Linked DNA regions of Mus musculus. The protein of the gene in region 2 binds, or shares a complex with, the protein of the main gene of each other region. Each region holds a gene or a part of one and is shown on either strand. Other genes may lie near its edges. The genes, in order: Dydc2 and Nme5.

Evidence for each region.
Region 1: the proteins of Nme5 (region 2) and Dydc2 are in contact, whole or in part, in a cryo-EM structure (PDB 8X2U), measured with the Mus musculus proteins. Residues at the interface, in NP_542368.2 of Mus musculus: Arg140, Ala145, Val146, Ile147, Ile151, Pro152, Ala156, Ala157, Tyr160, Ile161, Tyr164, Val165, Thr168, Leu169, Leu173, Leu176, Cys177, Lys180, Pro181, Asp183, Pro184, Tyr185, Leu186, Leu188, Ala189, Asp190, Leu192, Met193, Asn196, Pro197; in NP_001347537.1 of Mus musculus: Asp2, Tyr5, Leu6, Cys9, Phe10, Gly13, Leu14, Leu18, Val21, Ala22, Arg23, Val24, Arg25, Pro26, Asp28, Pro29, Ile30, Glu31, Leu33, Ala34, His35, Leu37, Tyr38, Tyr40, Arg41.

What each region holds. Positions count from the first base shown.
Region 1 is NC_000080.6:41,058,938-41,062,751, reverse strand, and holds part of Dydc2 (DPY30 domain-containing protein 2), read left to right. Parts: intron 1-247; 5' UTR 248-256; coding exon 257-403; intron 404-734; coding exon 735-857; intron 858-3,814.
Region 2 is NC_000084.6:34,576,279-34,580,767, forward strand, and holds the start of Nme5 (nucleoside diphosphate kinase homolog 5), read right to left. Parts: upstream 2,838-4,489; 5' UTR 2,799-2,837; exon of another isoform or gene 2,490-2,798; 5' UTR 2,409-2,489; coding exon 2,280-2,408; intron 1-2,279. Other genes in the region: Brd8dc (uncharacterized protein LOC271508), read right to left, coding at 3,916-3,966. UniProt on the Homo sapiens protein: Functions as part of axonemal radial spoke complexes that play an important part in the motility of sperm and cilia. Does not seem to have nucleoside diphosphate kinase (NDPK) activity.

The DNA.
Region 1 (3,814 bases), on a different chromosome or scaffold from region 2:
GTTACTTTTACCATGCACCCTTTCTTACAATGTTTGGCCTCACTATAAGCCAAGAATGATGGACCAAAGGACCATAAAGCCAAGCCTTTCCCTCTTCAGTTGAAGAGATCAAGCATTTTTGTCACAGTAAGGGTGATCCAGAAATAGTTCTTATTCTTCCTGGAACGAATCTGACTTGTTAGAATGGATCTACTTTGAAGGTTAGATTGCGCTTGTATAATAGAGCATTTGATTTGGTGTGTCCTAGGTTCTCAGCATGGATACTGCCTACCTGAAGAACTGCTTTGGAACCGGCCTGACCCAGGCACTGGCAGAGGTGGCAAGAGTGCGGCCCAGTGACCCAATAGAGTACCTGGCTCACTGGCTTTACCATTATAGGAGTATAACTGTAGCTGAGGAAAAGGTGTGTTGTGTCCTGGGCCTGCTTAGGTAGGGTGCAGCTTGCTCAGAACAACTTGAAATCCAAGTTATAGTCCTGAGTTGGCCAGGAGAGTTTTTGGCTCATCTCCCTTCTGTGGATTGCTTTGTCCCAGATGTCTCTGAAGTATGCAGGACTCGGGGGGGTAAGGAGGAAATCTAGCTTAATGGGTTGTAGAATTGGGTTGGCAGCTACTGGCTAGCTAATGCTTGCAATAGTAAGTTCAGTAGGCCTCATTGGCCCAGGCCTATCTCACATGAGGGAGGGCTCCTTTCTAAGGGATGTGACCTGATTTGTCTCTGTCATATTACCCTAGAGAAGGCAAGAGGAGCTACAGCTTAAGGAAGCACGTGACAGAAGCGCTGAGGAAGCAAAAACAACAGAAATGCTGAAAGAAGAAGGCTATCAGATTCAGCAGAAGTGTGAAAAGTGTCACCAGGTAGGAAGGAAGAATGGAAAATTCAACTCAGCCTCTATCAGCCAGGGGTTTCAGGAAATCCTCAAGATGCCCAGCACAGGGTAAAACACACTAAAGCTAGCCTGAGCCTGCTTGTCCCTCATAGCCACATATCAAGCATGTCCTCTATGATGCAATACAGATGTCAGAATCCAACACCAAACAGTTGAAAGCAAGTCCGCCTTCTTCAGATTAGCAAGCAGAACTTTAGTATCCCGAGCTTATCCCCGTCCCGCGGGAAATAAACACAGGACACACCAGATTCTTCCACGGTTAACTTTTACTTCTATATCATATTGAGGTAGACAAAGAAAGCTCAGAAAGTGTGTGGCTTAAATACTTTTGGTGACGTGTCTAAACTAGGACTGGTAGCAACACCCATGATCCTCATGCACCCTGGGGATAGGTTAAAGCCCCCAGGGGTTGGGCAAAAGCCCTGGAGATGGACTGGTGACTTTGGCTGGCTGTGCTCTCGCAGCTGCGCACAAAGAGGTTTAGCACTATCTAGTGGTGGCACATATATTGCAGCCCTTTACATCTCCCCCTCTATAATTTATTAAAATGAGGCTGGTCTAGGCCCTGTAGTTATGTCCATCTGCTGTGGCCCCTGTTTTAGGTCGTTCCTCCAATGTCACAGCCTTACCCGTTATCGGGTAACCCTATCACCACCGGGCCCCATTGTCTTAGGTTGGTCTGTGCATGAGGAAAGTTGCCCGTCTTTGGATACCACAGTGCTGTGTGACTATAACTGCTAAATGGCCTAGGGTGAACTCTACAAAAGAGGCCAGCCAAAAATGAATTAGTGGGGAAATCATGATCACCTTATCACATGCAATGAGGAAACCTCAGCAATGTGCACGGACTGATCAATGATCGTTGAGTTTCTCTCATCTCAATGCAATGTATCCACAATTTTGTGGGATGCAAGGACAGAGAACTCAAATGCCAACTAATTCTTGAGAATAGATAGCCAAATTTCAGGGGAGGTGCCTTGCTCTATGGCAGCAAGTGCTTGAGCAATTACCACCTTGTCACGTTTCTGTTGAGATCTGAGTTTGCATACCAGCCATAGAAGAAACACTAGTCCACAACACAGGGTTGCGCCAAACAGGCCCACTCCCACCCACTCTTTAAAATGTGAGAATGCAGAGGACATCTAGGAAGAAAGTCCTTTGATTCCATCGATCAATGATGGGTCCACACGCGTAGAATTAATCGTCATCACTGCTGTACGTAACGCCTCAAGCTTTTCGTCAAATCCTTCAGACCAGTTTCCTGTAAGAAACAAAGACAATTCTTTAGATAGATTAGCTGCATGTGTCCAATTTTCATATTGGACACTAGTAATACATAAGGCTCCTGATTTCTTATCACAGCCAAGCTGAGCCAATTGGAGCAGAATTTCCAGTCTTTTCTCCACCAGGTCAATGCGCTGGTTCACTATCATTAGCCCACCTTTTAATTGGGCACTGAGCACTGAATGTTGATCGATCGCTTTTGTTACAGAGGAGGACAACTGCTCGACAGTTGTACTTGACTGGACTGATGTTGCCATAGCAATTCCAGCAGCTGTAGCTGCCGCCGCACTGGCAGCCATTGCCACCACAACGGCTGCAGTGATACCAAAGTCTCGCTTTTGCCTGTGTAAGGTTATGGTGGAAGGGATCTCCACGGGGACAGGAACCCATCGTGGAATCTTGGCAAGCATTGCACGGCTGGCCCACTTAAGGCTCCAGCATTGTGACATCCAGCAGGTTTCATTAGTGCAGGATTCAAAGGAACCATTAGAAAGAATAAACAAGAAAGGGGTATACACACAAACTGGAGTAGGTAAATAATTAGTCTGCTTTATCAATGTCTTATTAAATCCAGTGATTTCAGTAGTAGAATTTTGATAAATGGTTCTATCAGGTAACAGAACTTGATGAAACTGAGCAAATTTTGAAATACCATTAAAAATCGTTTTTCCAGCAGCTCCTCCTTGGAGGAAAACCAAGGGATTAAGATCTGTACAGCTACCATTAATCCCACAAAGTACCCATTTATGAAAAGGATGCATTCTAAAGTCCTGTATGAAAAGTCCCTTTTTCATAACATATTTCTGCTCTGGGTCATCTATCATGTTGGGAGAAAAGGAAAAAGTTTTACTCTGATCTGCCCAACGAGTGACAGAGGATTGACAATCAGACCAAGGCAGGATCAGCCCTTCATCTTCCAAGCTACAATGAGGAGCCATTTTTGGTTGATAGGGACGTTCTTTGTCTGAAAAGTTAGGTGGTAGAAATGTACCATTAACCCAGGTTGTCTCATGCCAGAAGGTCCGATTTGTAAGGGTTATATCTCTGTTGGAAGTGTTTTGGGTTATTTTCACCACGCCTCCTCGATACTTAAAAAACATTCCCAAAGCTCGGCTGGTGAGTCTGATACAATTTCCTAATTCATAAATTTGGAAACAGAGAGAACCTCGTTCCCTTAAAGAGCGTTTTTCTCCCAATGGTGCCCAGATAGGGTCAAATGGTAGGTATGGCAGGCCTAAAGTTTTATTGGTCGTAAAAAACTTGGGAAAAACAGCTGTATTATGACGAACAGGCATAGGCTTAGGGAAAGCAGACAGAATTGCCCATCTATACTCTCCAAATATACTAGGAACCCAAATCCACAGAGGTAGCATGAGGATTAGAGGTAGTTTCCAAGGGATCCATCTGGGAGTCATCTTCAGGTGTCGGAATTTTCCGTGTCAGTCGTTCCGGCAGCCAAAATGGGTTGTCTTCTTCCTGTGGGAAAACACAAACAGCTCCCCTGGATCTTATTAATATAGGATCCGGGCCTTTTCAGAGACCAGTCAAAACATCTTTTCATTTTACCATCTCTTTTGGCCTGTTAGGCTCTGAACAGTGACGTTCAGCCGCAGTATGGCCTTGAGCATCAAGGTTTAAAAA
Region 2 (4,489 bases):
AGCACTGAGATTACACACAGGTGCTGCCGTCACACCTGGCTTTTACATGCTTGCTGGGGATTCAAGCTCATGTCCCTGTACTTGCTCAGCAAACGCTGGGCCACAACCCCACTCCAACTCTGTTTTCTTTATTTTTTCATTCATTTCTTTATTTTTAAGGATTTAATTATTTTATACATGTCAGTACACTGTAGCTGTTTTCAGACACACCAGAAGAGGGCATCAGATCCCATTACAGATGGTTGTGAGCCACCATGTGGTTGCTGGGAATTGAACTCAGGATCTCTGGAAGAGCAGTCAGTGCTCTTACCACTGAGCCATCTCTCCAGCCCCCAGTTTGTTTTTGTTTTTGTTTTTTATTTTAAAACACTTAGAAAAATAGATAATATGATACTATATAAAAAATTTAGCTGGGGGGAGAGAATGGGGGACTTTTGGGATAGCATTGGAAATGTAAATGAGGAAAATACCTAATAAAAAATATTAAAAAAAAAAAAAAACTTAGCTGGAGCCAGGCAGTGGTGGCACACACCACTTTAATCCCAGCACTTGAGAGGCAGAGACAGGCAGATTTCTGAGTTCGAGGCCAGCCTGATCTACAGAGTGAGTTCCAGGACAGCCAGGGCTACACAGAGAAACCCTGTCTCAAAAAAACAAACAACAAAAAATTTAAGACAGTCTCAGGCTGTTGAGATGGCTCAGCATGTAAGACTGCTCTTCCGAAGGTCCTGAGTTCAAATCCCAACAACCACATGGTGACTCACAACCACCCGTAATGAGATCTGACGCCCTCTTCTGGTGTGTCTGAAGACAGCTACAGTGTACCTATTTATAATAATAAATAAATCTTTGGGCTGGAGCAAACAGAGACTGAGTGAACAGAGGTCCTAAATTCTATTCCCAACAACCACATAATGGCTCACATCCATCTGTACAGCTACATTTTATGTATATGTCCTCATATACATAAAATAAATAAATCTTAAAAAAATAAAAGTCTCACTATGTTACCCTGGCTGGCTAGCAACTTGCTATAGAGACCATACTGGCCTTGAACTCAACAGAAACATACATCTCTGCTTCTCAGTGCTGGGATAAAAAGCACCAAACTCAGCTATATTCATACAGTTAAGAGAATAAAAATGTTTTATTCTCTTAAAATTATAGTTCGAATAAAATTCAAACAAAATATTACAAACACTAAGCTCTATTTCATCTATTTATAAACTTGTCTTTTAGTTGGAGACCTTGTCTACTAGAGGACAGTTAAGAATTCTGTGAAGGGGCTGGCAAGATGGCTCAGCGGGTTAGAGCACTGACTGCTCTTCTGAAGGTCCTGAGTTCAAATCCCAACAGCCATATGGTGGCTCACAACCATCTCACATACATACATAAAAAAAAAAAAAAAGAATTCTGTGAAGCCCAAGATCACTGGGAACTCAGATCCTCCAGTCCTACCATGTCTAGGGCTGGGATCATATGTCACTACTTCCAAGGCCTGCATCCATGTATCCCAGGATGGCCTAGGACTCACTATGAAGTCCAAGCTAATCTCTCACTGTCTTCTGGGAGGCCTGACTTCTTTGACTTTGTTTACCAACTACAGAACAAATATTGGTTTTAACTCTAAATGTTCGCTGGCTGTGGCGGTGCTCACCTTTAATTCCAGCACAAGGGAGGAAGAGGCAGGGGGATCTCTGAGTTCCAGGCTACTTAGTGAGTTCCAAGTCAGCCAGGGCTATACGGAGAAATCTTTTCTTGAAAACAAAAACCAAAAGAAAAAAAACAAAACAAAACAAAAATAAACCTACTGACACCAGGAACCAAAATATGCACAGGAATATTGCACATAACCTAGAAGGGATAAGTAGGTTCTCATTTAATGATCCAGAATGTTAGAAACACCCAGGAGAAAGAATGTAGCTAAGCCATTGCCCCTCCCTAGAGCTGACTTGGGAAAGGGAAGGGAAGGGAAGGAAAGGCGGTTGGCTTCTTTGATGTCGTACTCTCCATCCTTTGAAGTGTGAAAAAACTTGTCTGTTACTTGTATCTTGTTTGTTTTTGAGACAGGTCTCCCAGGCTAAACTTGGAAGTCAGTACATAGCTGACCCGCCTCGAGCGCCTGATACCGAGATCACAGGCATGTGTGGAGCACATGCCCAGGTTATATATAACCTTTATATTTAGAAATGTAAACTTAATGTTACTAAGGATCTAATCGGGTGGCTACATTTATATAGGAATAACGGAAAACGAATAAAAGAGACAGCAGACGTTACCTGAATAATGGTGAATCCAGATCCCAGAATAATATCCTGTATCTCCTCTTCTTTGTCAACAACATCTGGCTTGATAAGGGCTAGGGTTTTTTCTACATATATCTGAGGCAGGGGCATTGATACCTCCATTCTGGCGTTTTCCGGTACAATTTTCAAATCTCCTAACCAGTTATCCACAGCAACGACAGGAGTCCTGGTCCCAAAATCAGCCTGTGGCAAAATTTGGTGCTAGATTTGATTAATTTATAAAAACGGAAACTGCTATGTTTTTCTACGAGAGCAGTTTTGCAAGAATCCGACTTGTACTGCACGCAAGGGGAGCCCTAGCCGCTTGACTGAGGTTGGAGGACGGATGGTCAGCGTCGCTCTCAGGGGTAAAGGAAGGCACCTAGCCGGCTGTCCTAGTGAAGGGGCCCCACCCCGTAGGGGCCACTTGGTGCAGGCTTAAGCATGACAGAAAAGATGAGTCCCCGAGCCCTCGGGAAATCTCCACGCAGGACCCTCCCAAGCTTTACTTACTCTGTTCAGGTGTTGTCAAAGCCCGTTGCTAAGAGACCCAAAGCTGGTTTCCTAACGGTGGCTGCAGAGGGCCAATTCCAGCCGCGTTTTAAATGGCTCTAGTTAGTTTTAATCTAGGGCAACAATTAGCCGTGCACATTTTATTCTTTTTGTACTACACACACTTCTAACGTTTCCCACACTAATTTTAAAAACAATTTTATTTACTGTGTAGTGTGTGTGATGTGATGTGATGTGATGTGATGTGATGTGGAGTTAAAACAACTTTGTGAAGTCCTTCCCGTGTTTCTGTGGTTTCCAGGGATGGAAATCAAGTGGTCATCTTTACCCTTTTAGCCTTAGCGCCAGACCTTCTCTAGATGACCTCCTTTCTTGAAGGATGTGTACCTTATCCACACGCTGTAAATGAGATAAATCAGACACCTCTCAGCTATTTACTTTTTCTTTCCTTCCTTTTCTTTTTCTTTTTTTTTTTCTTTCTTTTTCTTTTTTTTTTTGGGTGGTTGTGGTGGTGGTGCTTAGGATCAAATCTAGGCAAGCAATTAACCACTGAGCCACATCAAACACCTTCTGGGCTTCACCACGTGATGCCATCCCCTCTAGTTCCAGCTTCTTTAACCGTTTAGAAACCGCCTTTGCAAGGCCTGGTGGTCTGGTGGTGGAAACCCCTAATCCCAGCACACCATTGGAGGCAGAGGCTGGATGCAATGGGGACTTACAGGAAAGCCTAGGTTTTGATTCTCTGACTCAAAAACCAAGCAAAATCTTTAGTTTGCGAAATATTTATTTATAGAGAAACAAAGGTTCAATCAAATTACTTCTAAGTCTATGCAACAAAAATATGAGCAATATTTACACCATAAATCCAGATCTTGGTACCCCACCCCACCACACCCCACCCCTTTAAAAAATATTCCATCTGCAAGCACCATTGGCTTCTTAGTTAGGAGGCAAGGCATTACTGTCCTTATTTGGAAAGGGAATAGAGAGAGAGGGAGGGAAAGTCTTCACATCGTCTCTGGCCAGTCCTAAGAAGAGCTGTAACTTGAGAAAGAACCAGACTTGTAGTTCCAGGCTAACAAAGTCCCCTTTCTTCATCCACCACATTAGCTGGCACTCATTCCAGACTACTCAAGTCCTTCCTTTTATCCAGCCAAGTACTCAGAACCTACAGGAGCAATGCACAGACAGGAAACCATGAACCTTGAGGGCCAGGAGGAAGTGTATGCAATTGTATTTATTTTATTGGCAAACAGATAAAACTACACCTTTTAAAATTTGATGCTTTCCAAAGAGAAATCCTTACAAGTCTCCTTGAACTCACTCTGTCTTCTCCAAATTATGGGAAATATACATGTACATTAATGTCAACAGTTGCAACAAATGAGACATTGTCAGTGAGTCCAGCACCCGATTTGCTTCTAGCCTTACGACTCGGGCCTCTGAAAGCAGACCTGACCGTAACTAACTCCTCTCCGGCCGTCTTGCTGCTGGCCTTCCCAGACAACCTCACCCCACTGTGTGTTAAATCCGGATCCATTAAGACAAGGAACTTCCCCATCCCAAGAGTACCTTGGTCCTTCAGGCCCTTCAGTCACCTCTGAAGATAAACTCTAAAACACAAGCTCACCTCCGCACCATCTGAAGCCATCGCACAGGCTTCTGAAATCCCATTGCAGAAAGCACCGCTC